4 linked regions of the Arabidopsis thaliana genome follow. The protein of the gene in region 3 interacts with the protein of the main gene of each other region in a pairwise test. Each region holds a gene or a part of one and is shown on either strand. Other genes may lie near its edges. The genes, in order: MUB4, ATGP4, UBC29 and MUB6.

What was found.
Region 1: the proteins of UBC29 (region 3) and MUB4 interact in a two-hybrid assay, tested with the Arabidopsis thaliana proteins (one study listed by BioGRID).
Region 2: the proteins of UBC29 (region 3) and ATGP4 interact in a two-hybrid assay, tested with the Arabidopsis thaliana proteins (one study listed by BioGRID).
Region 4: the proteins of UBC29 (region 3) and MUB6 interact in a two-hybrid assay, tested with the Arabidopsis thaliana proteins (one study listed by BioGRID).

Annotation. Positions count from the first base shown.
Region 1 is NC_003074.8:9,942,636-9,951,172, forward strand, and holds MUB4 (membrane-anchored ubiquitin-fold protein 4 precursor), read right to left. Parts: upstream 5,450-8,537; 5' UTR 5,159-5,449; intron 4,884-5,158; 5' UTR 4,810-4,883; coding exon 4,680-4,809; intron 4,148-4,679; coding exon 3,977-4,147; intron 3,894-3,976; coding exon 3,832-3,893; 3' UTR 3,121-3,831; downstream 1-3,120. Other genes in the region: AT3G26950 (uncharacterized protein), read right to left, coding at 1-83, 202-364, 452-776; AT3G26960 (Pollen Ole e 1 allergen and extensin family protein), read right to left, coding at 2,224-2,564, 2,641-2,824; AT3G26990 (ENTH/VHS family protein), read right to left, coding at 5,791-6,543, 6,797-6,832, 6,918-7,057, 7,651-7,819, 7,948-8,067, 8,216-8,463. UniProt on the Arabidopsis thaliana protein: May serve as docking site to facilitate the association of other proteins to the plasma membrane.
Region 2 is NC_003075.7:12,847,064-12,855,394, forward strand, and holds ATGP4 (Ubiquitin family protein), read right to left. Parts: upstream 4,748-8,331; 5' UTR 4,383-4,747; exon of another isoform or gene 4,287-4,382; 5' UTR 4,187-4,286; coding exon 4,057-4,186; intron 3,805-4,056; coding exon 3,634-3,804; intron 2,966-3,633; coding exon 2,910-2,965; 3' UTR 2,588-2,909; downstream 1-2,587. Other genes in the region: UMAMIT16-psi (nodulin MtN21 /EamA-like transporter family protein), read right to left, coding at 66-203, 289-335, 518-749, 860-976, 1,198-1,313; AMY1 (alpha-amylase-like protein), read right to left, coding at 5,046-5,297, 5,370-5,735, 5,960-6,390, 6,462-6,594, 6,673-6,762; SWEET14 (Nodulin MtN3 family protein), read right to left, coding at 7,567-7,833, 8,201-8,320. UniProt on the Arabidopsis thaliana protein: May serve as docking site to facilitate the association of other proteins to the plasma membrane.
Region 3 is NC_003071.7:7,264,227-7,271,582, forward strand, and holds UBC29 (ubiquitin-conjugating enzyme 29), read left to right. Parts: upstream 1-3,495; 5' UTR 3,496-3,653; coding exon 3,654-3,723; intron 3,724-3,824; coding exon 3,825-3,952; intron 3,953-4,137; coding exon 4,138-4,242; intron 4,243-4,367; coding exon 4,368-4,511; 3' UTR 4,512-4,829; downstream 4,830-7,356. Other genes in the region: AT2G16730 (glycosyl hydrolase family 35 protein), read right to left, coding at 1-34, 138-222, 304-409, 487-581, 664-807, 915-1,007, 1,106-1,172, 1,272-1,384 and 2 more. UniProt on the Arabidopsis thaliana protein: Accepts the ubiquitin from the E1 complex and catalyzes its covalent attachment to other proteins.
Region 4 is NC_003070.9:7,767,599-7,775,413, reverse strand, and holds MUB6 (membrane-anchored ubiquitin-fold protein 6 precursor), read right to left. Parts: upstream 3,756-7,815; 5' UTR 3,518-3,755; coding exon 3,385-3,517; intron 3,282-3,384; exon of another isoform or gene 2,930-3,281; coding exon 2,759-2,929; intron 2,627-2,758; coding exon 2,571-2,626; 3' UTR 2,260-2,570; downstream 1-2,259. Other genes in the region: AT1G22060 (sporulation-specific protein), read left to right, coding at 1-710, 1,018-1,173, 1,346-1,447, 1,529-1,671, 1,765-2,041; AT1G22040 (Galactose oxidase/kelch repeat superfamily protein), read right to left, coding at 5,617-7,044. UniProt on the Arabidopsis thaliana protein: May serve as docking site to facilitate the association of other proteins to the plasma membrane.

The sequences.
Region 1 (8,537 bases), on a different chromosome or scaffold from region 3:
TTTGTCGCCACAGATGCTTGACTTCACTCATTGTAAACGTAGCATTTGAGTAAGCAATGTAATCACCAAAAGGATACTTCCCCCTGAGGATACCCAGAGAAAGAAAGAAATATAAACAAGACAAATAACACAAACTACAACAAGCATAGTAACAGTTCAGTTAATATAGAGAAAAAGGATTGAGAAAGAACCAATATATGCCTGGTCTGGCCAATGATCAAGGATCTGTTTAACATTATGCTCAATGCTGCTGATGTTAAGATCTTATACATTTCGTTTCCAAATCCAGCTTCTGCTGTTTTCCCTAGAACATAACCATGTCTACAAAATTGCTCCGGAGGCAGCTCACGGATCGCTGAAGCTCCTATAAACCACAATAACCACATCGACATTGATTCATCGTAAACACCTCCGCTTATATAAGAGTCGATTCAAAAACAAAATATCTCACCATTGATTTGAAAATGGCGATGGATAACATCTCGAACTCTGAGACTTTGATCTACGAAACCACCATCGAATTCGCTTCCCATTTCTTCTACCGTCGCGCAGAGTTTAGCTCCATCGACCATAGCCTCTCCAATCGAAGAAGAGTTGCTCCATCTCGAAGCCTCCTCGGATTCGGACTCGTCATCGTCGTCGTCGATGAAAGACGAATTAGGATCTACGGAACGGAGCGTGAGCAACAACAAACCAAAACCGATGAAGAAAACCACAGATGATAAGAGAATCGTCTTCCCGAACAACCGCTTCCGTCTTGTTCCACCGCGTTTCATCTCTTCCTCATCGTTTCTTTTCTCCGAAACTCGAACAAGTGTAGAGTTTCTTACATCAGAGCTTTGGATGCGATTGACACGGTGCCGTTTTGGATTCGTTCGTGTCGGTGGCCGTTAAACTACGTCAAACGGTATCGTATTAACACTAAACTGGGCCTAACTAACTATATCTATTAAAAGCCCATCAAGTTGGTAGGCGTCGTTTTCTGTTTTTGGTGCACTGGTGGTGGTTCATCCACATGACCACATCTAAATATAATCATCATTTTAATAAAATTACAAAGAAAACTAATCTTTTCGTATAAGAAGATATTCATTTGAGGAAATTTAAAACCCCCCAAACCAATAACACAATATTTTAATAAGAATGTAAAAATCCGTAACCCAAGAATAGTTGAATCTCAAAATTATAGTTGTTTCAACTTAGCCTATTTAACTTCAAATTATAGTTGTTTCAACTAGACTATTTTGGTGAATCATGTACAAGTTATCTTATATATTATTGTTTGTAATAATATACATCCAATATATTAAAAACTTATAGTTGTTTTAATCATTAAAATTTTTAAATTTTCTAGAATTAAAAACTTAGGGCTAAATCACTATAATATAATTGAGTTACTCTCTAATATACACTTTTTGTATGTCACCATTGACGTATCCATGAGTTTATCTAAGTAGTAAGAAGATTGAATTTCATTTTAAGTTTTATTTGTTAGTTAAACAATGTTTTTTTGTGTAGTTTAACATAACATCTCAACGAAAATTTAACTCTAAAAATTTGTTTTGTTAGTCAACTTAACTACGTGACATATTGGGTAAAGTCAACAAAATGAGCGATTAAAAATGCGAAGTCAATTAAAAATATGATTAAAATAAAAAGTTAATGAAAATTAGCGCATTATTTTACTCGAGATAAAGTTAAAACTTTTTATGCTATTTTTTACAATTAAAGATTTTTTTGACATTTTCTCCAAATATACGTATGCGTAAACTTATGACGACATAACTAGATGCAACTTTATTTATATATTATAAATCAATAAAATATTTACACAGATTGATATACTAAATTTGCTGTAGAAATATGAATTATCAGTCTAACGAAAACAGGTGACCTGGTAACTCGTGCTTTAAAACTAGTAACAGTCGTGCAATTTTTCCGGACGTTTTAGGAGAAATTGTGTAAATTTGTTCGTAAAATTTTGGTGTGTTTTCTAGCATTCGCCAAAATTTTCCTCTGTTCATTACGTTGTGAAATAAAAAGTGATTCATTTTCCTTATTTTTCATACTAATAGTTTACAGCATACGAAATAAAAATTCAAATTTTGTTTTTAACCAAAGCCAATGGTCGAGAACAAGACGAAAGACATATATATATATTTGAGTAGAAAGCAAACAGAGAGTTTCAATAATAGTGAATGATAATTTGTAGTTCTAAAAACCTTATTTCTTGCCACACAAGGCAAGATCCCTCTTGAACGGTCTGAAATTCAAAGCATTGAATCCATAAACACAGGAATTAGACTGTTGAGACTTAAACAAGACCTGATCCGTAGTGGTTCTATAACCAGGAATGTTGCAAGAAGAATCGGAGAAGTTTTTTCTTCCAATCAAACTCGCTTGACAAGAACTCGCGAGACTGTCCACATCAGCACAATCTAGAGAAGATATGGCTACCTTGTACAGTCCAAACTCGTTGGTGGTTCTGTTTGCAGAGAATGTTATAGTCTCTGTCGTTGTTGACGAAGCTGCTTTGAATCGGCAGACTATCCTCACTTCCACACCTGTGTAAAGAAACGTTAAGAAACAGAGTTTTTGCAGGGAATTAATTAAAGAGATCTTTTTGTTCTGAGTTACTACCGGACATGAAGTAACTGTGTTTAGAGAAACTGTTTTTGGAGCAAACATCGCAGTAAACAAAACCCATTATAGTGATTTCTGCATCTGGTTTTGGTTTGGGTGATGAATGCTTTGAAGATAGAGAGTTTACGAGCAGAAATTGCAGAAGTATAAAAAGAAACATTGTCAGTGATTTCTTCGTCATCTTAAGCACAACAAGTTTCAAGTTTGGTTTATTTGATATTTATGTAAGAATTGGAGAATATGTGTGTGAAGAAAGAAGAAATATAGGGAACTAGTTTTCAGACAAGAATAGAACTCTCTTGAAAGAGCTTCGTGGTTCCTTTCTATATATAGAGAGAGTTATACAAACGTGTCTTTTAAAAATAGGCTTGGATACGAAACGGATATTTTTACTATTCATTTTGTTTTTCATAGTTACAATATTCGAATCGGATTAAAGTAAATACCATATCGAAGAGAAAGTGATGGGAGTACAAAGAAAGGTGCATTTGGAGTGAAGATTATAAATGAGAGCCAGAGGAGAGGAATAGAATTAAAGGCGAAACAAGACAAGATAGTGGAGAGACACTAAGTGAAAGTGAAGGTTATAAATGAGAGAATTAAGTGGGAGACAGTGATAAGTTAGGTGAAAGGACATTTATTGAGATCTCATGCTCTCTGTTTCTTTTGGAGGTTTGTATCTACCTACATCCCCAAAACATTGGCTTTGTGGAAGTGGAAAATGATGAGAAAGGTATGGACCATATAGTAACATATCAAAGTGTTTGCCACTCAAGAACCAAACTGCAAACGTTTAGTACTCGTTTTCACTGTAGGTAATGGACTGGATAAAGATGTTTGGATACAGTTTTGGGCGGATCCTGATAGAGAAAAAAACCAGGTCTAAAATGTACTAAAGATTGACAAAACCATACAAGATATGTTACAGAGATACTTGAATTAGTTCGCGGTAACAAAACTCTTATCTTTATAAAGGATGCTCCAAACAAGAGTTTTTCCATCACAGCTCAAGAGAAACAACTCTAATAGACTAGCTTTATAACGCCATAGATGAAGGTTTCTTTGAACTTGTGAAGAAAATGTCGAATATGAAGCGGTAGTTTATGTTTATATGGTCTTTTAGCAAATACCACAGAGAATCAAAACTTAACTCTTTCAGATTTTTTGACTTGGGACTTGTTGTTGTTCTCACATTATGGTACATGAGCAAAAGCTTCTCTGTGGGGCTTCTTCCTTTTCGATTTTTTTCTCTGTAAGAGAAAGAAAAAACAAGATATTAGGCTAAAGAATTCATTCCACAAACAAGATTTACGGAGATAAGAAAGAACAAGACCTGGTCTTGCTTTTGTTGGAGACAGTTGCACGACAACATGCATTGTAATGACGGATTTAGGGAGATCATCAAATGGAGCTTTACACTGTGCAACAGTTTTACCATTCTCCAAAATCTTACCAGCATTTATCAACTTGATGTCACTAGCTGATTTTGGAACAATCTTCTTGTCTACACACATTCAAAACCCCCAAATTCGATTAGTCAATAAGATACAATAGGAAACAAAATGAGACAAATTCAATTTTTTGTTGAATGCACAAGACTGAAGAGTAAGATCAAGAAATTCTACTAAAAAGAACCAGAACAGTATTCGTCCCTATAGTCTCTAAAGACATGATTTGTAGTATAAGACAAGTGATTAGTAATACAATCAGACCAATTCAAAAGCCTATACCACAAGTGGAGAAACTGTTAAAACATAGATCACAAGATCGAGTAACCTTTTAAAAGATCAATAGTTTAACTTCCTTCTTCTGTTCCTACTTTAAGACAAATGATTAGTAAGTCAATCAGATCCTATGACTTATGTCTGAACTTTGTCTATCAAGCCACAAGTGAAGAAACTGAAGAAAAAAAAAAATGGCTGAAGCAAACGTTCTAAAGCCAAATCTAAAGCATTAAAGAGCACTTCTATCGCATTTTTACTTCTTTTTCACGGATTAGCCGAAAAACAAACCAAAAGATTGTGCTCGGTGCTAACCTTTAGGCCATTCAGAGACAATTCTCTCCTTAAGCATTGACACTGTGGCGGTTGGAGAGTACTGAAACGGGCCAACATCTGAACCGTCATATAACCGGAATTTCAGTTCTACCAAATCTTCCTCCGGCATTTGATTATCTCTTTCTCCCAATACAAAACTCTCACAAGAAAGATTTCACCAGAAAGAATCCACCCAAATGAGACCTATAATAATAAGAGGACAGAGAGATTCTCAAATTCAAAGCATCAATGAAATTGTCGAAGCAAAGAACAAAAATATTTAGAGAAGACTAGTAATAAGAGCACAGTCAAACTTAAAGGAATCAATTAGGAAATTTTCAGTTACTGTCCAAATCAAGAACTTGGACCAAAGGAACAAGAAGAACAATAAGCAAAAGAAAAATAAAAACTTGGAACTCATCTAAGCAACCTAAGCTCCTAAACCGTCAGATAAAGTTACCACAACACACAAATCTTACCCGGACTAGAGACACTCAATCCAAATGTCCAAGTTTGCTAGGTTTTGAGTCTTGGGAATGAAGAGAATCAAGAAAGTAGGAGAGAAACCCTTAAAAGGGTAAATGACCTAATCTCAAAGTGAAGCTGGTAAAATCCAGCTAAGAGATTGCTGCTATGTGATTCTATCAAAGTTTCTGATATGTCTTTCGTCAGGATTGCCGCGTTACAGGGAATCCCTGACGAGTAAGGAAATAAGATAAAAAGACAAGAAAATTGTGGAAAAGTATGTTTCTTTATTAGTCAAAAGCAAAGCCTTGTCGGCGTTTTGACCAGAAGACTTTAAAAGACGAGCAACAAATCACTTTGGTCCAAATCTGACTTCCATGTAAATTTCAAAGAGAGGAACAAGAAAATTTGAAAATCTATAGAATCTTCCAACAATAGTAAAATCTCAGAGCAAAACAAAGGATTTTTATGATATGTTTACAGAGTTGAAACCTTGGATTAGACGCACAATTAGAAAGCATACAAAGCACATTTTAAGAACATAAAATCCTAATTATCAAAAGCCCATTGAAACTATATTTAACAAAAAAAAACCAAAAAAAAAAGTGAACTTTTTGCTATATGAACCCCTACGAACAGATTTACACTACTGGCGAGTGACAGGTGTAATAGGCACAGATGAGTTAATGCCATAGAAACCATCTTGTCCCTGAAACTTCTGGTATGAATTCTCCGATGGAGCAGAGGTTGTTGAAAGTTGAGTGAGCCCAGGTACCCAAGGACCTTGTTCTTGTTGTTGTTGCTGAGTGGTTGCAGTAGAGGTTGCTATGGTGTAGTTGAATGGTGTGTGGTTTACTGGCCCGGGAGGCTGTAACGGCTGCAAAAACTGAGGTTGAAGCTGGAATGGTGGTGGTGGTGGAAGCGGTTGTGGGGGTGTGGAGGATGATGTTGTTGCAGTGTTCTGATGGTGCGGTGAGAGATACGACTGGTCATGATTTTGAAGCTTAGGTCTTTTCTCTGGTGGGAAATCGACGGATGATAGAGTTTCTGTTACAGCAGGTGGGTTGTTGTTTCCGATGATGCCTTCGGAGGCTAAGGAGGAGAGAACATAGGAGAGCATCTCGGCTGAGGAAGTTGAAGCAGTTAGCTTAGCTACCACTGCAGCAGCAGCAGTTTTTCTTGGGTCTTCCAGCGATTGAGTTGGGTTTGAGGCAAACATAACTGGTGCAGATTGTTCCACATCGCTGTGTGTGAAGCTTTGTGGTGCTGCTGCAGTGGATGAAACTTTGATAACTTCTTTTGACTCTTCTTCTTCTGTAGCAGGAGGCTGTGAACTACCACCATGGTCTAGAAGCTGTCTGCAGAGATCACCAGTTCGGTCTGATTGAAACCGAGCAATCTGAAATCGTAGCACAAATGAAATCAATTCAACTAAATAGCATAAAGACAAGGCAACATTCTGTTTGGAAAGGCAACCAAGAACCCTAATTAGATTTGGGTCTATCTTCCTTGAACAAATTCACTAAACAAGCTTGAAGCTAGACCAGCATGTCTCGGAAAGTACTATTGAGAACGTTATGATGTATTGTGTAAATTGAAATGTATAAAATGTCTGAGGAACAAATATCACATTTGTTGGTAAGTATTCAAACCTGAAGGTGGTTACGGACTTGCTCCAGCTTGAGTTCCTGGACACAAAAACAAAAACAAGGTGAGGTTTCTGGCCGGTGCAATGAAAGATGTTGTTTTGAAAGAAAATGTATAAATGTAAACCTGTTCTTGTAAAGCTTCTCTCAAATGTGAGATAAGACTTGTTCTGGATGTCTCCATTGCCCCTAGCTGTTCGATGCAGTCTCTCAATATGACATGTTGTCCCTGCAACTCCTTCACCACCGCTGGCCCAGGGGCGTGTCCTATTTAAAGCAATGCTCAAGAAGTAAGATAGTGAAAACAACTTCAAATGGATGCTTGAACAAGAATTGGATCTTCTCTATCCTACAAGTAAAGAAGTGTAATATATCTACAAGCAGTTAATATAAAGACCAGTCCCAGTAATCAGAAATGTAGTGACAAAAATTAGGGATCCAAAATTAACCAAAATGTGTAGCACTGGTTATTCTCGTTGCGGATTGGGGGTAAGTGCTCTTATCATTAAATGATTTGACACAAAGATATGCTGAATATTCCTATCAAATGGTAAGAGCCACCATGTTTAAAAGATGATTTTGGCAAAAACTATTTGGAAAAATGAGAGAGGAGCATCATGGAAGTAAGAATTGGAAGCGTGGTAGTGGTTTAAGATCACACATAGACCAGATACGAGATTGTTACGCAAATTTTAAGATTTCGGTTCAGATACAAAGGGTGTGTGGTTAAAGATAGACCAAACAGCTGAGTTCTTAAAACAAACGAATGTAGAAAACTGAAGCTATGTCGCTTGTCACTTGATAAGAAAAAAGCATATCAATACATTTGCAGTAATGTAGCAGCCAATGGACGGTGATACCTGAACTAAGATCTCTTTCAACCTCTTGTGTTGCTTTCTCAAGGTAACCAGCAGCATTAGTAGATTTTCCAACAAGAGCATCCTCATCAATCTGAACGCCGTGAAGAACTTCAACAGCAGACACTACTTTCTCCAGTGTGGATCCATTTACCTGTCTCTGAGGAACAGACTGCAGAAATGACAGAGTTGATTATGTGGTTAGCATGGAAGAACTCGAAAGTAGAAATTATCACATAACAGTGGACCGTACTGAGACATACTGGTACGAAATTGCTTGTACAACAAACTCTGACTTACAAGCTTAAGTGGCACGAGATTTCCGTTTCTGGTTCCATTTTCAGGCTGTCTTCCCAGAAGTTCTTCTTTGAGAATTTGTCCACGGGATCCAAAAACTTTCCTTTCTTCCCATATATTAACCTTGAAGAAATAATTACGATAATTAGCAATGCAGTTTTCTTGTCAAATTCTTTAAATCACATCAATAAGTGGCATTTCTATGTTCTCTAAAATCTCAAACAAAGAGAAATTCAGAGAGAGTGGTAGATAAAAAGTTAACTTCACGTACCAATCGGCGTGCGGATTTTCTTCCAAAGTCATCACCATTTTCAATCATATCACGAAGAGCATCAGGGAGTACTTTCCAGAACTCACCTACAAACTCCGAACCCTTTCGCCTGCTATTCTGCAAGATATCATTCGCGAGGTACAAGTATGCCAAACGTTGCTCACGTGGGGCACAGTGAAACTGCCTACCCCATGTTTCTACAACATGTTTTGCTTTGTTCATGTGAAAGATACACCAATGTGATAAAGCTGTATAACGTCAAGGAAAACATACACCATAATAGTATACAAGGCGAGAGAAAAACAACACATCACATGAGACT
Region 2 (8,331 bases), on a different chromosome or scaffold from region 3:
AAAGATGAGTTGAGAAGAGGACTACTAAGAGATACCAAGGATGTTAGGAAAGCACCAATGCTCACCTCCCGACAAACATCTGCTCAGAGAGTACAACCGAGCTAATGACCGCCGTGGCAATCAGATTGATTGGATTGAAGATACTCACCCTTCTTCTGTGCCATCCACCCAACAACGTAAACCGTTGTTGCTGAGAAACATCCCTGTACAGTGGAGAATGAGTTTCAATACAAATTGTATGACAACCAAATGACTTCTTGATTCAATTCAACTTACCCCAGAGACGCTAACACTGTCACATTTGGATGAAGTTTCAAGGCTTTAAGTTTATTTCTCTCCCATATTAGTGCGGTGACCGTTGATCCAACGCCCCGATGATGCAGATGAGAGCCGTCAGGGACAGTTTTGCCGGGTACGACACTACTACCTTGGCCTGCAAGAAACATCATATAGATTAAAAGGCCAGCCAACTTAGTAAATTTCTGTAAAGAAACATTGTGACCTTTGGGCTTTTTACCTGAAGAATAACATAGAAGCTCCAACTCAAGCAGCTGCACACTAGCATAAGCCCTCCTCTTAGGATGTCCTCATCATGTCTGTGGATCTTCTTTGCGTGCAGCAAGCTGTTCCATGGCAATGGAATCACCTGGCCTCTCCAAAATGTCATCAGCATTGCTCCAGCAACCGCCACACACGTTCCAAGAACTTTTGCTTTTCCTCGATGACTGTGAATAGCCACTTTCTCCAACCTTGCAAAAGGGTACGAGACATTACATGTTGGAACTAAAGTCAAAACACACATACTGATTTGATTATTACTCATACAGAACTAAATGTTTGAAAGAAAATAGAAGGCTACCTGAATATACAGGCCATCACAAATGTAATGGCCGGGAGTAGGTTGAACATTCCGGAAGTGAAAGTGGGCGTTGTGAGCTGCATGCCTGTATAGTACAAGTTTTGCTCCAATAGTGGCCTGTAAGAAAACATTTGATTAAACCTCTAATATATTGATGAATGTGATGATTCATACAAACTATAAGTAACTTACTCGAAAATGCTCATGATAACTATCTGAGCAAAGATTCTTTTAGTCAGGTCTTGTATTCCTATAGATTTGAGATTATTATTAGCACCAGAAACAAAACAAAACAACAAAAAAAACAGAGAAAACATACAATAAGTTATGGTTGGTACCTCTCAAATACTAAAGCAAGGGGTGATAGAATTGAAAATGCAATAACCAGACGCGCAGCAACAAAGATTCTCGGAGAAAGCCCGTAATCTAGAGCATACTTTGCAATGACCGACATTATGGATAAACCAATCTGAATTGAAACAGCCGCAACTACTGGTAGGATGTTATGATCATGGCTTCTTCTTCTTCTACGTCTTTTTTTTTTGGTTAAATTATATTCAAAAAAAAAAAAAAAAACGTTTTAGATCCGTTTTTCTTAAGTTTTTAGTAGAAATTACTTAAAAACCATTGCCTAGGAAAATAAAAATAGAACACAAAGCTTTTACCTGAGGAACTGAGTACTGAAAGCAGCTTAGTCTCGTGAAGCAAACCAGCCTTTGTCGACTGTCGTAGCGTCTGTCCTCGGTTGATTGAATTGTCCAGATCTGATTACGAATATATTTATCTATCCATCGGATGAGGTTGGTTGCAATTCCTGGTTGCACTTCTTCTTCGTCTTTTTCTTCTTCTTCTTTAAAAATAAAATAAAATTTAAAAGTGTGGTCTCAGTGGTGTTCGTCAATGGAGGAGGAGGTGCAGGAAGAAAATATTCTAAAGAAAATGCTTCCAGCTCGTTTTTACTTTAATGCTATTATAGTGTGTGGTTTTTACGCTTGTTTATCTCCAAGCTCCTTGTTTTGGTAATATGACATTAACGTCATTATGACTCTTTAACTACCAACTCATACAGTATAAATACCGTAGTTAGCTACTTATACATGTCGTATACGCTTATACTACTCAGATTGACCGGACGATTCGTCACCGGCTTTCGTGTCTAGGGTTTACCGACAGCTCTCTTTTTCCATTGGGCCCTATCATAATTTATCCATCAACAGCCCAATCTTTTTAGCGCCACGCATAAAGCTTGGCTCCCTTTTTTGGTTTTTTTTCTCCTCGTTTTAAATGTTAAAACTAGGTTGTTTTACTTGTGTTTTGATATTTTTAACTATTGTTTGTAGTACATGTGTTTGATTCAATTTAGTTTCATATTGCCATCTTTCTGCAATTCTTTTTTTTTTTAATGTAGATAAGTACATACCATTGTTATGACTTTTTTTAGTTTATGTTGGTATTTATAAGTAGCTAGGTTATGACTTGTGTCATATATCATGTGTTATTACATCATGCCTCTGTTCGAGACTACGTCGCCTTCATCCATCACTACTCTTCCTGTCTGTCTGATCGGAACCGCAACTCCATCCTCTTACCTTTTCCCAACCTAAAACAAAAAGAGATGAATTTTCTGTTCGAAGTGATGTTCAGAGTTCATGAATTCATTAATTACATTTACGGGCCAGCCAGAATTTGGCCATTTCGCAAATTCACCTATACTAAAACGGTGTGAAAGGAAGAACGAAAAATACAAAGGCACAATCTTTTTTAAAAATAGATAGATATATAATTATCTTCATCACACGTAACGTAATGGACCTAGTAACCTATACAGCTTCCATACATTGGGAAAGTAAGAAGAAAAAACAAATAAGGGACAAAGAGTTACTTGAAAAGAATTTATAGTTCATTTTCTACACATTCAAAGATGATAAATAACTCCACAGCTTAAAGGGAAGCTTTACTTTACTTTTAGCTTTCTTTTTTTGATTTTGTTTTCTTCTGTACCGGAAGAATTGAAACGATGTGTATGATAGATACATTGGTCTTCCTCCCTTCACAAAATGGTGCATGTGCAGATTACTGCCTTTGGTGCTTTATCAACCTTCTTCTCTGTTTAATCAAAAACCAGTATTCAACTGTTAGTTAGCTTTCATCAACAAACGTCTTAGTAATCACAAACTCACTTTCCACGACTTTCTCAAGTTTGTGAAAAAACAAATTATGCAGACAAATCTCAAAGACTGGCAAAAGTTTTCAGTGGGGTTTACAAGGAGATGACGACCAATAATGAATTCAGGTATTCCTTTCCTCATGGCATGCTTTGCTAAGCTTAGAGCTGATTTTTGCTTTATTTCACACAAAGAACACACCAGAAACCTAGGAATGAATTCTAGGGTATCCTTTACTCTCTCTCAAGACAAACAAACCAAATTTAGACAAAACCACTAATCACCTGATAGGTTGATTGAGTCAGTACCATAGGCTGTTAGAAAGAAAAAGAATGTACTGATCTTAGTCACCGACTAACTTTCTGATGTGCATGAACACTCTTACGAAATCTTACCAGCCTCAATTAATATAAGTATGACTAGAGCTAGATATTATAAGACGTAAAGTTGAGCCAGATAAATGAATACCATAATCCATACAGTTGACAAGATAAATACCACAAGACTAATGAAAGATTGAGGAACCTCTAAGGACACATATATCTCCATGAAACGGGAATTCTCTGATATAAAAGACATGAAGAACATTACACATAGACAAACAACTACCTGTTTTGGATTTAGCTAGAGAAGGCTGTACAACAACATGCATCACAATGACTCCACCAGCAATATCTCCAAATGGTGTCTTACACTGCCCAACAGTCTTGTTGTTCTCCAAGATCTTACCCGAGCTTATCAGCTTCACTTCGTTTATCCCCTTTGGAACAACTGTTTTGCCTAACCAAAACCACAAAAAAATTGATGCTTGGATCAACCTCAAATCACAGAGACTTGGCTTTTCTCATACATCAAGCTTATAACATCTCAAATGAGCTAATAATAATTCATCTACAGCTCTAAATTTCGAATTTCTACCGACAATTGCAGGATTCAGTGACAATCAACACGAAATTCGTGGGAAGATCATGAATAAAACCAGGATCAGATTGGGGAAAAAGGGGCACCGATTCAAAAAACCTTAAAACTAACCTTTGGGCCAATCAGAGACGACCCTCTGCTTCAAAAAGTCAACAGTAGAAGCCGCAGAATACCGAAAAGGCCCGATATCGGAGCCATCGTACAACCTGAATTTGATATCTATCGATTCTTCCTCCGGCATATCCGTTGACTTCTCTCTGACCTCCGATTACCAACCAAATTCCAGCTCCGATCACCAATCCCGCTTCTCAAACACAACTATTTCAGATCTGAAAATAGGTCTGAAAAAAAGTAGACAGGAACGAGAATCAGAGCTCGCTTCGAAACGGGATAGAACAAAAAAACAAAAAACAAAAAAGAGGAAGAATCAAACACACAGAATCGAAGCTTCCTCCGAAATCGTGTTTCGGATCTTTGATTTTGAGGTGTGAAAAAAGCGAAAGAAGGAAGAAGAAAGAGCTTGCTTTTTTCAAGAGTCACCAAATATCAAAGTTCCTTCTCAAGCCGACGGTTTTCACTTTTTTCCTTCCTTTTTTTTTTCCCCTTTCTTTTCGTCGTCACTTCTACTTCTTCTCAAGCCGACGTCTTCAACTTTTATTGTCCTAGCCAAAAACGCTGTCGTTTTATTCGAATTTACCTGTCTAACTGTTCCCACTTCCCACCATACTTTTTTTTTCTTCTTCTACAATAATATAATTCGTTCTGATTTTGGCAGTATTGTGTGGTTAAGACATCATAATTCTGATTTTAGTAGGGCTCCAAATCTTATACGAGTCGGCCAATATATAATATATTAGTTGTATGCAACAAAACAAAACGATGGAAACTTTCCAATACTTATTTCTACAAGTTGACACTTCTTCACTTGAACTCTTTTCTTTCACTGGAGTTGTATCCTTTAACACCACTAGTGCTCTTTTTATTTAGGTATTCTTTATCATTTTATATTTCATTATACATATCTTTAGATACTGCCAAAATGTTTTATTAAAAAGGAAGAAGATACATTCGATTACTTTTCTTATGATTCGAGTTATGCGTTACTTCTTCTCCCAGACAGCAAAGTCAAGGCCTGAATAAGCTAAAGCAAAATTAGAAGGAACAAGTGTTCCCACATCTTGCTTTGGTCCAATCTTCATGATAACTTTATCATCAATCATAGCCAAGTAGAGATCCGCCTCTGCCGCTTTTATCGTTACAGAGCTTGTGCTACCAATCCCATTTTTGTTCCTGATAGCCACCAGCTTTGAGATGCTCTCTTTTAGTCCCCATTCTATGTAATGATTATAAAACTGCAACAAAAATAACATATCAACAAGATTGTAGTTGTAAATAGTATAGCTACATACTAAAATGATACTTACAATGCAAGGAGTTCCTGGATGAGTAAGTATATAAACGTATCCAAGCAAGACTTTATCAGAAGGGAAAACCCACGTTCTGAATGTATCATGGTTATCTATGAATGTGACAGCGTTTCCGGGCATGATTCCTATCATACCAGGCGGTTTTCCCTGCGAGTCCTTTAGTCTCCAAAGCTCACCTTTGACAGCAGACTGTAAGATCCCTTTGGTGGTGAAATCAAAAGCTGTCAACACACCACCACCCGCTTCCTCGATCCACTGTTTGAGACCCGACCGATGCTCGTTCTGATCATAGTCTAGTTTCCCGTCTCCTCCGTACTTCATATCGTCCCATTTCTCACCCACCGCAAAATCCGGTGATGTATTCTGTGTATCCAAAAACAGAGGAATTTATCACATAATCAGTAGTGAACTTTCTTATATATTTCTTATTGATTGCATTGACTTATGTTTCTTATATACTAAATAGTAGTAAATAACCCTATCAACCTATGATACTTATATATACTAATAGTAAATAATTATCTCAACCTATGTTTCTTATATACTAATACTGTTGTCTGATATTTGAGAATTCATATGTGATTTACCTGAACGTATAATTTGGTGATGGAAGATGCATAACCTCGAACATAATCAAATCTCCAACCATGGAATCCGATTTCAGTTTTAAGCCAATTCATCCATTCGGACAACTCTTTCTGAACTCTAGGGTTAAGGTGGTCGATGTCGGGCGCTCCATCAAAATCTCCTCCGGTGTCGAGGTTTCCGGTACCGGGAAATTTAGGGTCATTGCGGCAGACAAAGGAAGGATCCCAATCAAGACGATCATCGGAAGTCCCACCTTCGAAATAACAGTATCCACATTTATCGTCTTTCCTCTCAGCTGTTCTGTGGTTAATCACTATATCAGCCAAAGCTTTTATTCCTTTTTGATTCAACGCTTTGATTAACGATTTCAGTTCCGCCTCTGAACCGTATTTGGAGCTGTTTAGATCGTATAGCTTTCCCGGTAAGTAACCTGAGGAATGAAGATTGCGTGAGTAACAAGATTGGTATGTGAATGTGTAAAGAGTAAAGCAGAAATGGAACCTTCAGGAGCAACGGATTGAGAAGGAGGAGGAAGCCAAAGATGAGTGATTCCAGCGTTGGCTATGTCGTCAATGGAGTTGTGGAGAGAATTGTAGAATCCTCCTTCTTTCTTCCATGACTCCCAATTGAAACTCTGTTTCACAATTGAAAGAAACCCAATAAGTGAGTGTGTAGAGTCTGTGTATGTAAAGAAGCAAAACTAAAGACGAACCTGAAACAATAAGGTGGAGGAAAACGTGAAGGTTGGAAAGACGATGAAGAAAAGAAGAGAAGAGAAGAGTAACGTATGGAGAGATGTCATTGTCTGATTGTGAATGGTTTGCTTCTTCTATCTGCTTTGTGTGTTTATATTGAGACCCTAAACCTTGTAGAGTTACGTAACCTAAACGACACGGCCTTGTCATATCTGATATATTTCTTCATCAGTCTATTTTTCTTGGGAATGAAATGTGAATACATTTACAAGGAGTTATGGCAAAAAATCTACTCTGTCTGATCCTAGCTCTAAAATGAGTCAAGTATGGTCTCCCTTTAGACCTCCATTTGTCACGTTTTGAGTGGACAATAGGTTGAGAATATTCTAGGGGAAAAAATGATATTTGGAGCTAATATATGTTGTTTGGGCTGTTAAAAAAAGTGATTGGGCCGTAACATTAACTTTTCCTAGAGGAATCATAAAACGAAGAGGCTAGAGTACTTGTTATTTATTAGACGTTAGGGTAAAATAGAATTGAGAAGTACTAGGTAACTCAATTCTGGTAGTCCAGATGAATTCTGAAGTATTGTCTACATGTGATGTACACCATAATGATTTTTTTTTAAAACATCTGACCTGTGAATGATCATGTTTATCTAACTTACTTTGAATTTTCATTTCCTTTTTAATTAGCCGGACTAATAAACTTTTAAGTATTACTGAGAACAGAGGCATCAAAAACTATTTTACAAAATTCTAAACGACGCACATAAATTTTTGAAGGATAGTACAATTTCGAGATATTTCGAAAGAAGATGATGAGAAAATAAAAGACAAATTAGGAAACCAGACTCAACAGTTCAACATTAAAGTCAATCACTAATTCATAATTGAAAACTAAATCTTGACTTAGTTTGGCATTTTCTTGTCCATCTGGTCCTCTAAGTCACCACCATGAGTTTTAATAGGATGACTCACGTCAGGATTAGTCTGCGGCTGAACCGTAAGATCACCAGAAGCCGGAGTAGATGAAAGCTTGACCATGTTGATGGAATGATCCGACACCGTTTTGGGCTTCTCTGTCTCATCAACCACTAGTGGAGTTTTGTAGTACTTGAATATGACGTATAGAATCATTTGGACTGCTCCGAGAAACGCACCCAATATATTTGGAAGCTTCAAATCATAAAAAAGTAATCACATCATCAGTAACAATCCCACTAATCATTTTTTGATAGGGAACAGTAATCCTATTAATCGCCGACAACCTAAAAAACTTTATATAATTGTACTCTCGGTTTCTTTTACGTGATCATATAATATATGATTGTAAGCATAAAGCAAAAGTAGCGTACGGCTCAAATCATTCATTCGTCGTCTTTAAATAGATGGAATTTGGGCAAAGAGACAAAAGGTGGTGGAAACTCTTTTGCCTTTAACATAAACCACACATAATAATATATGATACTATGTTTGAGCTGTCCATTTTCATATACTAAAGAAAAAGATTCACATATAATATAAGAAAAAAAGAGAGACTCACCGCAACGTAGAAGTCTTTAATAGCAAGACCGTAGAAGAGCCACGTAATGGCGCTGATTGTAAGAAACAATGATAGAGAGAAAGGCATAAACTCCACACTCTTTGTTCGTATCACCACTCTCTGCGTCATCA
Region 3 (7,356 bases):
TTTAGATGACCGTACTTAGGCTCCCTTTCCAGTCCTTTGTATTAAAAAAAGGGCAAATGAGAACATACATATTAATCTGTAACTCGATTTTATTCATTCACAACGATCATATGCTATATGTTTTGTTTTAGTTTTACCGAATTCATCAAGAGGTGCATCGTCGTAGTAACGAGTTGTCACATAATGTGCAGAGGTTCTTCCAAAGTTAGTACCTCCGTGATACTATAAGAAAAACAAATATTTAACAACATTCTTGAAACGTTACATATAAATCTCTTTTTTATTCGGTATTCGATCACTTACCATATAGTAGTTAACATGGGTTCCATTCTTGGAGAAAAACCGGGCAACAGAATATGCTATATCTTCTACAGATCTTTGTGCTGGGGGATCGCCAAAAACGCGGAACCTAGAATCAAATTATAAGTCATTGTCGTTTGTTTCATCAAGAACATACTAATTAAGGTGTTCAAGTGAAAAGCTCACTGAGTAGTCCAGTTCTCTGTCCATAAAGATGGCTTGTTGTCTTTGTTTGGACCAGGGAATGTATCACCGCAATGTCTTCCGTTACAAGCGTTGATCTGTATCAAAACAAATTAAGTTCTTGATTTAACCTTTTATGATTATGTTTTTATAGTGAACGTGTTATAAAATATGACTTACCATAGGATCAGGAGCATCATTTTGCTTACACATAACCCATGGGATCCCCAAATCCATCGAGTGTACCAGTTTAGATGCCCACTTAATGTAGTTTAATCCATCTTCTTTATATGCTCGTTGAACCGCACTATACTCATTCTCAATCTGAATCCAAACGCCAATTTTAAAAAAATCTTTCAAAACTTTTATGATTCATATCTTAAAAATGTGTTTGTTGTTTTTATTAATCTTTATCTTTTTGTCAATGTTACCTGTCCTAATATAATGGGGCCTCCTTGTGAAGCAAAAAGCTTCTCCTCCTTCATCATGTCAAGTACCACCTTAACATATCTCTCTGTATGTTCCTACAATCAATAGTTTTCTCCAAATTATTTAATTGTTCCAACATATCACACACATATCTTACATATGCATAGCCATATGTGAAAACTAATAATCATACCTTGAAAGGTTCATTATCGGTACGGAAGAAGATCCCGGGAACTTCCCTCAGCCAGTAAGGAAGTCCTCTGATGTTTCATTATAACCATAAGCATTAAACATGTCACATATGTAAAAGAATTTTATCTCAATTTGGAGGAATCAGACAATGTAACAAATAAACATACCCATGAGTCCATTCAGCTTGAATAAAAGGTCCAAGCCTCAAGGTTACATACAAACCATTCTTCTCAATTAATTTTATGAACTTCACCAAGTCGGCTCTACCCGAAAAATTGAACTGTCCCAACAACAAAATAAAAAACTCTTCAAAACAGTGATTTAATCTTTTCTAAAGGTTTTTGTTTGTTAATATTTCAAATTACCTTTCCCTGCTCAGGCTCATGAACGTTCCAAAAAACGTATGTCTGAATCGTGTTCAAACCGCCTTGTTTCGCTCTCTTGATGATGTTTGGCCACATCTGAGCAAAACCCACATCACATATTCTCAAAAATGTAAGTAAAACAAAATTTAAAGATAAAACAACTTTAACTAACGAGTGTATGAATCATTTACTTCAGGAGTGCTACGAGGGTAATGTATGGAGCCAGAGTAAAGGAGTTCTCTATTTCCATTGATGATCAAAGACGTTCCATCATAAGTTACTTCTTTCTTTTTATCGACCGATTTCGTCTTCTTCTCTTTGTCATCGCTTGAGAGAGCTCCAGAGAAGGAGAGGAGAATCACGAGAACGGCTAGTAAAAGCCATGAATGATCAGAAGAATGTATTTTCATTTGACTATCTTCTTCTTCTTCTTCTTCTTCTTGAGGATTTTTAAATTTAAACAAGAATCCACCTAAAGGGATATCTTCCTTGTCAGAGAAATAAAAACTTTAGAGAAAGAAAATGAAATAAGAGAATGTTTCGCAGAGAACATAAGGTTTCAGAGAAATTCACGTATTCTCAATTTGAGATTCCACATTTTGTTTGTAAATAAAACTTCCAATAACTCTCCCTTTTATTTCCTTATTTCCTCCTTTCATTTTGTTTTCGTTGAATTTTCTAATTTTAAGGTTTTTGGTTGAAGAGCCTAATTTGGCGGGTATACACACAATGACTTCTCTCAATCACCACCAAAAAGAAATGTGAGCCAATGCTTATGTTGAGAAGGTGCGTATTACACCAAAAAAAAATGGTTCATACGAAACCAATGATTTTATTTTATTTTATTATGTTCATTATAAACACCACTTTTGGTTCTTCTTTAATTGTGGAAATGTGGATTAAATCCATGAGAGATCTAACAAAAATTTGTGTAACCTGTTATCTAGTTATTATTCTTTGTCTACAAGTTGAGTAAATTTTTTTGCTGTAATTTGGATTATCATCGTTTAAACCTTTAGCTTATTTCTAACTTTAAATATCATAACGGCAAAAATTGTAAAAGCTTTGGTATGCTTCTTTTACGTAAAATACATAAATGTGTTGACCGTGTGGTTGAAGATTGAAAGCAAAGCAAACAACATTTGTTACAAAAAAAATGGCTATTTTTTTAAGTAATCAATTAATCGTCTTTTAAAAAATCGAGACCAACTATTGTTGAGAATTATTTTCCTCCCGTAATCACCATCATAAAATATCGGTTGGGCAAATCACGTAGCATGCATGTACATTAACTTTGGACTAACAGCTGTGGAGTTTCTTCTTATAGCAATATTCAAAAGACCTAATAAGTCTGAAATAAACAGAGGCTTGAAGGTTATACTTAGATTGAAAGGCAATGATTTACATTTACATATATAGGTTGATCAATGACGATCTCTACGATATGTTGTGATATAAATCTTTAAAATAAGGAAATAATATATGCATCACTGATTTGTGGAGTGTTCCTCACTCGACGCCACTCTGATTTGTAAATTTTTTATTGTAAAATTTTAAAGTATGTAAATAGGGCCTATAATTTTTTTTCCTAATGATACATGGGCCTATAATCTTAAGAAACTTTTGAAATGGGTCCTATAAGTTTTCAATAACTATTTTACCTCATCAAATGTATGTTATGATTTATGATTATATTTGTTGAACATGATGCTCATCACCCATCACTTTGCTGGTCCAGTGAACGTGGACAATAAGATTAAGAACAAAGGATATTGTAATAACCATTCTTTATGTTAAGTTATTCTGATTCTCAGACTTTATCAAATCCCATTATAGACCGTTCAATAGATATGGTATATTACAGTAAGCATGTACGTAAGACCATCCACTTCAAGGCACGTCTCTCTTTCAGAATCAGAACAAAAGAATGGATCTTTCTCCATTACCTTTATGGGCAAAGCGGGCGGCTAAAAAGAGACTTTACAATGGTAAATCTTTACTTAAACAATGATAAATGCAATAGTGCAAGCATTCCTGTTTGCAAGAGAATCACAAATCTTTGCTTACGGTTCACGCTTTAAAAACACAACTCTCATTCTCCTTCTCTTCACAAACCACTCATATTTTTTTTCACATACTTCTTTGTAGTGCTACTTTCCATTATATCAAACACTCAGCAACCTGATGGCAACGAGACGGATATTGAAAGAATTGAAGGAGTTGCAAAGAGACCCTCCTGTATCATGCAGTGCAGGTAAAGGATCACAATTTGTTCTTAATACAATATAAGCCATGTATCAGAAATTTTTTCTAAAGATTTTGATATTTCCTTTCTCCTTGGTTTGGGATTTTTAGGTCCAACAGGAGAAGATATGTTCCACTGGCAAGCTACTATAATGGGTCCGAATGAAAGTCCTTACTCCGGAGGTGTTTTCCTTGTCAATATTCATTTCCCTCCTGATTATCCTTTTAAACCTCCCAAGGTAACAACTTTCTCAACAATTTTTTTGTTTTTTAATCTACTTCTTAAATCCAATAACCAAAAGGCACAAAACCAACATTAAATATTGGATCGTTTATGATCTTTTGGAACCTTAAGTTTTGATCTTTATTTTCAATCTTTTTCTTCTTCTTTACTCTTGTTGTTATGTTTGTTTGATAAAATCAGGTTGTATTCAGAACCAAAGTGTTTCACCCAAACATCAACAGTAATGGAAACATATGTTTGGACATTCTCAAAGACCAATGGAGCCCTGCCCTTACCATTTCTAAGGTTTGAAATTCTATATATGTATTTAGTTATTTGTCAATATTTTCTATAATTCCATATATCAGATTTGGTATATAACCAAGAAGCTCCAATAGGTAACACAAATTACTAACATTTTGGTATTATAGGTGCTTCTCTCTATATGCTCTCTTCTAACAGATCCAAACCCTGACGACCCTCTGGTGCCAGAGATAGCTCACATATACAAAACTGACAAGACCAAATATGAAGCCATGGCTCGAAGCTGGACCCAGAAGTATGCCTTGTTTTAAAGCTCACAATTCCTCTTTTTTTCCTTTTTATTTTGGTTTGGTCTTATTTGTAATAAAAAAAGAAGAAGAAGAAATTGTTATAATTTTAATACAAACATATATAATATATAAAGTAGAGTTTTCAAAGTTGTTAACTCATATGATTGATGAGATATCGACATGTATTAAATCTAATTTTGTTAATATATAAAAAATCTTCTAACCCTATCGGGAAAATAAAATATATACATAAATCACAAAAATTATTTATATAATCAAAAAATTTAATTATATTTTATATAATAAAATAATTCATATTATTAGCGAATTTGTTTTTTTTAAAGGACCGTTCAAATATGTTTTTTTGTGTATTTTGTCGAAATTTTTGTTATTTTTCTTTTTATTTTGTTAAAATAACTCTAAAATATAGATTTCAAACAACACATAAAATAGTGAGATGCATAGATAAAGGTTATAATGGGAAAACTCAATAGTATCAAAGATAAATGAGAATTAATTATAGTCATGTTTGTGTAAAAAATTTAGGACAAGTTACTAATATTTAAAGTTTAAGCCTAGTTATTTAGTAAACAACAAAAATAACTTACGTTATCTAACGATATTTTTGGAGAATAGATAGATTGAAATAAGAGTTAGAACACTAAATATTGAAAACGTGTGTGGGTTACTATTTAAAATTTAAATATCATAAAGAATTAAAACACGAAGATGAAATATGTAGAAATATTTTTTCAGCTCTTATCCATTAAAATGAAATATATAGAATTAAAATTCAGTATATTTTCATGAAATATATAGTTAAATTATTGCAAAATAGAATGGATAAAATTAAATTTTGGTTTTAAAATATTTAGATAAAATGAAAAAGTGTACATTGCTATTAGAATTCAATTATTATTTGAAAAATTATATATGTTTTTTATATTCGCCTATTTAAACGGGGTTTATCTAATATATATATATATATATATATATATATATATATATATATATATATATATGATCTTATAAAGAAATAATTAAAAGATAGAGAGGAATGGACGAGAAAGCAACATGACAGTTCTCTCTTATTAACTTTCACTCCTCTTCTTCTTATTAATACTGAGATCCACCAGAAAAGGGTTATTGCTATTGATTGATGAAGATGATCCATTGCTTTACGAGTACGATTATAACTTCTAAGCTTTTTTATATGGTTTCCCATAGATATTCTTAGCTTTAACTGACCAAGGTAGTTATATGTTGTAGTCGGAATAGCCATTAATATCTCAGGTGCATCGCAGCACTGTAAACGCCTTGCAAGCCTGGACAGGTGGACAGTCATGGTCTAGAAGAAGATCATGTTCATAGCTTTTTTGGAGACTTTGGCTTTTATAGAAATCAAGGAATAAGAAAGTATTTTAAAGTATAGAGGCTTTAGGTATTTTAAGTCATGCTAGAAGTGAACAATTGGCATGGGAGGCTGCTCAATTGAATCTTGTAGGAGAGATAAAGGAAAGAGAAGTACTTCCAATGTTTTCTCCAATAATTTTGTGCCAGACGAGTTGTTTTTAGGAAGATGCAAAAGTAGTACTTTTAAGGCAAAATGTCACAGGAGGAGGAGTCTCTCACCGATTCACTTGGAAATGGAAGCCTTATTATATGAGCCATGAATAATAATATCCTATCAAGACGGATAAATTATCAGCTTTTTGAAATACATTGTGTAGAACTTGTCTTAATAGTGGAATTCCTTGAGAATTAAACCATTTTCTCTAATCTTTTCGATGAATTTGCTTCGAGTTAAGTTTTTTATTTATTTTCAAAGCTAATTATTTCTCGTTCTTGTAACTTCAAGTTGATTGTTTAGCCAAGACCTCATAAACCTTTACTTTCAGAAGTTTCTTATGTACACACTCTTTCTCCTAATTGGATTACCAATCAAAAAGTGAATTTTTAACTAGTACAAGATTGAAAAAAGAAACATTTATATAATATCCGTTTAGATTGAAAGAATTTTTCTTTTGTTAATCTTTATCTCTTTTTTATATTTCGATATAAGCCGTTTCTCGGAAAATTAAAAATTCTAAGCCGTTTATATGGCCATAAGTAATGAGGCAGCTCTAAGCCCGAAATAGCCGGTGGCCACACATATTCACTTGGGACTTGGCCCTTTTAAAACACCTAATTTCATGCCTTTTCCCGCTAAACTTGCCACTTTCTCCTAACCAACTCATTTCTTCATATAAAACCAACAACATCACACAAAAAGAGCCCTCATTTATTCACCTTTCTTTTCCCTTAAATATAATCTTTATAAAAAAAATTAAAAATTAAAAAAAGGAAGTAAATTGAAAAAACAAAATTGGTCCCCTGTCTTCTTTTGTTCACTGGACCCTTTTCTTGGCTTCGCTAAATCATACTATCTCTATCTTCTCACCGACACTTTCTTCTTCTTTGATCATATCATATTTATCTTCACTACAAAAAAAACAAGTAAAATAAAGCCAATCTTCTTAAATATCTCCAGAAGATCTATCAGCATTTACGTATTCAGGTCCTCCAATGTAAGTTTCTTTTTTACTTTCTTATTCTATTTGTGTCAATCTGGTTTCATTAGTCGTGGCAGCTGGGCAGGTACAAATGCTGATGGCACATGGCATCAAAACTATCAATTTATTTATGTCCTAAAGACAAAATTTAATGATAAAATACAAAGGATTTAGGTGATACTATGTTGTCTCTTAATGCTCATCGTGTATCTCTTAAAAATCCAAAATCTTCTTATTTTCCTTATATTTAATTAAATGTGTCTTGAATTTTCAAGTGTGTCTCTCTCTCAATACTCTGGAGTTTTTGTTTGTTT
Region 4 (7,815 bases), on a different chromosome or scaffold from region 3:
AAACAGAAGAGTTCAAAAGCATGTCCAATCATTTGAAAGAGCTTAAGGACAATGCTGAAGCAGAATGCAATCGTGCTCGTGAAAAGGCCGACTACAAAGCCCCGCTAACTCCACAGCAGGAGTCGTTGAGAATCATTTTCATCAAAGAACAGTATGACACCAAGCTGCAGGAACTTCAATATCAACTGACCATGTCCAAGAAGCATGGTGAGGAAATTCTGATGAAATTACAAGATGCCATTGATGAGAATGAAGCAAGGAAAAAGGCAGAATCCAGCCAATTAAAGAGATCTAAAGAGCTGGAGGGAAAAATATTGGAACTGGAGGCTGATCGACAATCTGTTATCTATGATAAACGTGAGAAAACCACGGCTTATGACATGATGAAGGCAGAGCTGGATTGCTCATTATTAAGCCTTGAGTGCTGCAAAGAAGAAAAACAGAAGCTTGAAGCTATTCTGCAACAATGCAAAGAGCAGAGTTTGAAAATGTCCAAAGAGCTAGAATCAAGGAGAGGATTAGTACAACGTTGCAGCTCTCAGAAAAATATTGAGATGGAAGAAAATGATAGATTAAATAGTGAGGTGTCAGAGTTGGCTGACAAAAATACAATTGCAGTCTCTTCAGGCGACTCGGTGAACAACGGGCAAAGGGAAGTTGCTTGTATTGATCCTACAGTGCGGATCATCAGTCCCAGGTCGATAATTCAGGTAACCCTCAGTTAGATTGCGTTTGCATTAGCATTTATTTGGAAGTTAAGAATATTCAAGTTCATGGTATCATAGAAGTTAAAACGAGTTCTGTTCCAACCCTAAACTTCTGCTGCATCTTCTTTATGAAATGTTATGCAAAACTAGTTTACGTGATTTAATCAAGCTGGTAATGACTAGGCTACTACGTATGTCGATGTTTTCTGTAAATAGTTCTCTAGTTAGATATTAAGGATGTTATTTCCTGTGCTCGACGGGTAAAAAAAGGTGCTATAAGGAATTTCTTATTTTAATGTATGTTCATCAGGGTACTATTCAATCGAGCAGTGTAAATGGAAACAGAGACCAATTACCTTCCGGAGAAGCAATGGCGCTGGACAAACGTGAAGAAAGCCTAGCTTTGATCAATGATAAATTCAGGGCAGAGACTTTAAGGTCTAGCATGGATCACCTAAACGATGAGGTAATACTGGATTAAGGGTTAAAATTACTAGTTAAATTAATTGGAAATGTTAATATCAGTGACTTAGTTTGGATTGGATGGCAATTCTGAATTACAATATCTACATGATGGTAATTATCTACAGAAAGATTTTGCCTAGCGTCATTGGGTCTTTTTTCTGTCTTCTTTACAGCTAGAACGGATGAAGAATGAGAATCTACTTGAACCTCAAGATGATAATGATTCAGACACCAGATTTCCGGGTTTGGAACAGGAGCTGATGCAGTTGCGTCAGGTGCTGATGTTTACCTTTTAGAGATTGTAATGAATTGAAGCATAAGTGTCTGTAGAAGTCTTATGATCTTGTTTTCGACAGGCAAAGGAAGAACTTCAGAGTATCTTCCCTCTATCTCAAGAGAATTTCAGTTGCGGAAACGCATTGGAAAGGGTTCTTGCACTGGAAATAGAACTCGCTGAAGCATTGCGTGGAAAGAAAAAATCAACCACCCATTTCCAGAGGTACACGATTCAAAAATTCTGCTATTAATTTTCGCCTTTGTAACTATACTAGACCACGTTGAACTTATTATTCCTTTTTGCCTGAAATTGCAGCTCTTTCTTGAAGCAACACACCGATGACGAAGCAATCTTCCAGAGTTTCAGAGACATAAACAATCTAATTGAAGAAATGTTGGATACCAAAGGCCGGTATTCGTCTATGGAGACAGAGCTTAGGGAAATGCATGACCGTTATTCTCAGCTAAGCCTCAAGTTTGCAGAGGTTGAAGGAGAGAGACAAAAGCTGATGATGACTCTGAAGAACGTTAGGGCATCAAAGAAGGCTATGCTCTTGAACCGTTCATCATCAGCAACTCTTGGTGAACATTAATGCACAGATGTTACTTACCATGTATATAAAGTTCCAAGAATGTTGAAGAAGTCCAAGTTCCAAGAGTGGTCTCGAGTTATAGATAGCTTAATATAATTGTTGTTTATTCGAGTCTCAAGATATGGGGTTTTTAAAGTGATGTGTTCTCTGTGTTGTATAGAAACCCCATATTCTTTAATTCAAAAAATGAGAAGTTTAGTTGAGAATAAGAACATACATAAGGACAATACCATTCTTGTTATTTACTGTTGTATTGAACATATTGTATATATTTATAAAAGAACCAACCTTCAAGAATCATAGTACATTTTCTCAAGCCATTTTGATTTTTAAAAAATAATAATTAAAAACCACACACATGGAACCAAATTCTGTAATGAAGATCTTTTGTTTTCATGCCTATGCCAATCATTCTGTACTGAAGGAACTTCTCAAAGCTTGTTTGATGCCATGGAAGTTGTTCCGTGGAGCATCATCTAGTGCCATGATCATGACGGATATAAATCTCTATGATCCAATTTACTTGCAGCTACAAAATGGTGCACACGCAGCGATTCTTCATCGGTGGATCATTCTGCAGTTTTTCTGTGGAACAGAAAATTTTCATATAATGAGATGATATGAACATGATCTCAAAGCCATAGTTAACGAGTACAGAATTCAAGGGAACATGTTGTTACACTGCGATAAACAGTATAACAAGGTAGAGAAAATTACCGCTCTTTTTGTCTAACGTAGGAAGGCGAAGAACAATATGCATAGTAATGATCATTCCAGGAAGTTCACAAACAGGAAGCCTGGATTCAGCAAGTGTCCTATTGTTCTCCAGTATTTTCCCGGCATTGATGAGCTTCATATCATTTACAGTTTTTGGAGTATTTTCTTTATCTGTGAAACAGAGAAACATTGAAAATGCAATTATAAAACAACCTTAAGTAGAGAAAGTAAATGCAACATAAGATTCAATAAGGCCAAGAAACACCAAACACCTAAACCAAAAAAATCCAGGCAAAAACAATACAATTTGAGACATCAATCTTATACTAGTTTTAGCCAAAATCAGTAACTAGAGTGATCTTAACACAACAACAACTAAACCTTTCACACTATAAAACTATAATTATCTATTAAAGCCTCATACTTTACAAAGTTCAACACCTAGACTAGCCCAAAAAAGTTCATCATACATTCAAATCATTGCAGAAAGAAGACAAATTTAATACAATCAAACCCAATGGAGAGTAAAAAGAAATACATGAAGCAATGAATCAAATGAGACTCAACCATCAAAACCGTGAAAAGCTGTAGAAAGAAGCAAAAGCATAACTATAAGTATAAAATACCTTTAGGCCATTGAGAAATGAGTTTCTCTTTAAGAGAAGAAACAGTCATAGATTGATTATACTTGCTTGGACCTATGTCTGTACCATCTGCTAGTCTAAACTTTAGTTCTATCCAATCTTCTTCACCTGCCATCTCTTTTCAATTTCCCCCAGAAAACAAAAAACCCCAACAACAAAAAAAATCTCTAAAAAGAGAAACTTCAAAATTCTTCTCTGGAGAAAATCATCGAACACTTTTGCAGGATTATTCACCAACCCAATTACAAAAACCCAAAAAAGAAAGAAAAAAACAACACAAACCCAAATCAATTCTCGTGGAAAGAAATTTAGGAAGAAGAAAAGAGAGACACTTTGGTTTTGGTTACAAAGGCTGTCTTTGAGCAGACATAACACAAATTGGGAAACTTTCAGATTCTTTTTTATTTTCGTAATCCTACCTGAATCCTCAATTTGACGTTTTTACCCCTACACAATATCATCAATAAAGCTGACTTTTGATTATTTAGTGACTTACTAATCAAAAATATAGACTTGTGAATTAACTTTAGATTGTTCGATAGTGATATTGTATTAGTCAAAAACTCTGGCCATGTTGTACAATATCAATATTGAACAAGTGGATTTCAATAATTTTGATTCCTATTAAGTGGGTATTGATACTTTCCCTTTTGATATTGAACTCTTTAACAACCATTAATTTCTTTTAATTAAAGAAATTTATTTCTTGTGTTTTGGATTCCTCTATTATTTTATAGGATTCTTGTTTTAATATGTTGGCATATATGCCAAAATTATATGGTAAGAGGGGCATTTCTGGAATTTAGGATTAGCATAAACACACAAAGAAACATATTGTAATTTCGAATGTGTTAGAAAATGGCAGCCACCAACTATATAAGCCTAACTACTTTAACTAATTAAAGATTGTGTTTAATTACACAAATCGATTATTTTCCGTGGGGTTTTAAGACATGAGGAACAATCTAGTGAGTAATCTTGATTGGTAATTAAATGAAATAATTGAAATTTTGGTCTAATTAATGCTTTAACATTTGGATTCGATTTGGTTCGAAAGAAAAAATGTTACCGAGGTATAACTAAAATTCCTTCACTTTCAAGTAATGAATCTAATTGTATACACCAACTTACAAGTAAAACATTCGAAGAAAAAAAAATAGATATAATCGGTTTTTGTTCAAGTGGAAATCATTTAAAATGAGAATTAGTTTGGTTCCAAATGGTTGAAATTCAAATGTTCAAGTTCAACCATAAAAAATTTCCTCCTAAACACCAACCAAATATTATTATGAAGAAAAATTCGTTCGTGCATGCCACAAAAAGAACCGATACACCCTTTGGATGGAATAATTAACAGGCTAGTGATACTTTGATATTCATGAAAAGAAGACTATTTCCTTCACATCAGATTAAAGTACTAAAACAAATGTCAAAAATTAATCATAGAATAGATTCGTTGAAATAAATCAAAAGCAACAACTTTCATATAAAAATCAAAGAAGATAAAAAGAAAAGAGGTGAAGTGTGAAATGAGAATCTAGAAACGGTTTGCTTTATGAGCATATGATTCGTTCTAAATTCTTAAGGCATCAATTATACATATCATTCTTGTCTTCTTACTTTCTTTAGGTCCACCATTGTAGTCGAAGCAAGAAACTAATCAAGAGAGCTACATAATTCAGTGCAAGGAAGAGAGATTCTAAACCGAACCGAATATTTCCGGTTTAGATTCAATTCAAGAAATGTGATCCCTGGTTGAGATGGATTAACCAAAAAAGGAGGAAGTTTCAATACCTTTTTGTGTTAGACTGTTTTAATTGCCTGAATCACATACACACCATAAGTTGCAAATTTTACCTGAAACTTTATTTCTTTTACAAGTTTCTCTATTACCAACTACAGAAATATGTATGCAGAAGCATACTGATGTTACATATTCAGAACTTCTGCAATTGTACTGCTAGGTAATGTACTGCTATAGTATATTTGCGCATGTCAAAAATTTCGATACAACAGTCGCATTATTATATATTTGTCACACAACATTTTATTACTCAAGCTTACTTTGGCAGCCAAATGCCAGAAGAATATATCATCGAAGAATTAGACGATAAAATCTTTGGGAGAACATCTCATAAGCTTCATGTTTTTGCTTCTGGCTGTACACAGAGATTCTTAATGGCCCACGAGAAATGGGCAAAGCTTCTGATGACTTTATATATCTATAACTTGGCAGCTAACAAGTTCAGCAGCACCAAAGTCCTTGGTTGCAATGAGTTTCCATGTAACAGTGTCTGACTTGTTAGGTGCATTGGTCTTTAAGTGTGGGATTGAAACAGAACTGGAGCTAGATGATGATGAGGAGACTGGGATGTTGGGGACATCAGCTCGTAAGACTGTAACGTTATGATTAGGGTCTCTAGTAATGAAATGAAGCTTGCCATGAAACCCAGCAAGCAAATAAGGAGATTCTGAATCTGTTAAGTCATACACAGGGACTTCCCCAATAACAACCTTCCAAGTATCTTCCTTTTGATCATACACTTTAATCTTTCCGTTCTCCATCGAAGAAGAAGGATCAAAAGCGTATAACTCACCATCCACCACAACACTCAGTTTTGTACCTGCTTGCCTCGCAGGCCAACCTTCACCCATACCAGACGGCATTTCAACCCAGAGATTTGTCTCGGGATCATAAACCTCTCCTCCAACATCAACAAAGAAAGGCCAAGAGTATAAACTCTGAGGAACACATAACCTACCGTTGTAGCAAGTCATTCCTGTGGCAATAGGCTTTAGTAAGTCAGCCAAAAACGCATTTGGCAACACTTGCGCCTTTGAGAAAGGCATGCTCGGAACCTCTGACCAAGCATCCGTGCTTGGATCATAAACCTCAGCTGACTGAAGAGGAGATAAACCTCCCCGTCCCCGATCAACCCCTCCAACAACATATAGTTTCTTATTCAATACACCTGTTTTGGAATAAGCCCGACTCGCCAACATAGAACTAACTTCACTCCAAGAGTTCAAAATCGGATCAAACCGCCAAACACAGCTCACTGTTTTAGACCTAGAAAGTCCACCAATAACATAAAGACCCCCATCAACAGCACCAATAGCGCACCCACAAAACGGCATTTGCTCAGAGGAGTCCCTCCTACCTAGAAAGCTCCTCACAATCGCACCAACATTAAAGCTCGGTGTAATCATATTCCACAAACCAGATAAACTCTTTCTAGACTCTTCTTCATAAACAACAACCGGCATTGGAGGCAATCTCTGCCATTTAGTAGACACAGGATCTAAAGCATACCACAAAAGCTTATCCTCATGACCTTTAGTCAACACATAGAGCCACTCCTCAGTCCTCCCAAGTTCTTTCCTCAAACTATACACCTCAGAAGTCGAAACAGCCGATCTCCACCTCCGAGAAACCAACCGAACACTCGAGTAACAAATTCTAGGAAGCCTAGCAAGAATCTGTATAGATAACTCATCAGGAAGACTTGGAATCAATCTACAACACTCTTCTTCATCGTTCTCTGAAGATATCTTTCGTCTTTTACGAGATTCGCTTGAACACTCAACGTCCTGACTCGTTGCTTTCCTCTTGGAACAGCTCAAACTCATAACAGAACCCATTATTGATGAAATCAAGAAGAGTCACTGCAACAAATCATAAATTTCCCAACAATTAGGCGTAATTAGGAATAAAAAACCAAACTTTGCAATAAAAACACACATGATCAATAAATGGGCTTGCAACACTAATCCGATACAAGTAAACCCTAATTTTATTTTTCTATGAATCCGACATAGATCAAAACATAAACCTCAAGAGCTAAGTCCAATTCCAGAATCGATAAAACCTAAAGTATAAAACTTTAAAAAAATGAGGTTTTCGAAATTAGTTCAGAGAGTGAAGAGTAACAGAGAGAAATCGGGACATGAAAATCTCACCGACGAAGCAAAAGATGAGAAATTGAGGAGTGGAGGAATCTAGAGATCTTTCGTATCCACACGCATGTTTCGGATTTGTCTTTTTGGTTCAAAGAGGAATTTTGTAGTTGAATCACGATTGGTTCAATGAGGAAAAAAAATTATGATTTGCTTTTTTTTATTTTGGAGTATTTAATCGTGACCGTTGGATTGATGTGAAATGTATAGGATTTTAGGTAAACCGGGTCTAATCAGTAATCATCTTCCAAGTCAACTAAAAAATAAGTAATTAATGTTCGTTTAATGAAATCACAAGCTGTTGACCAAAAATTTCTCTTGAATAATTCTTCATTTTATTTTGCTTATGATATTTGTCAAATTTTAACATCTGGTTTAACTTTTAACCAATAATTATTAACCGGTTGGTCTTTGGTTAGCTCTTAGTCTCAGACGTCTGCTTCCCGCGCAATCCGT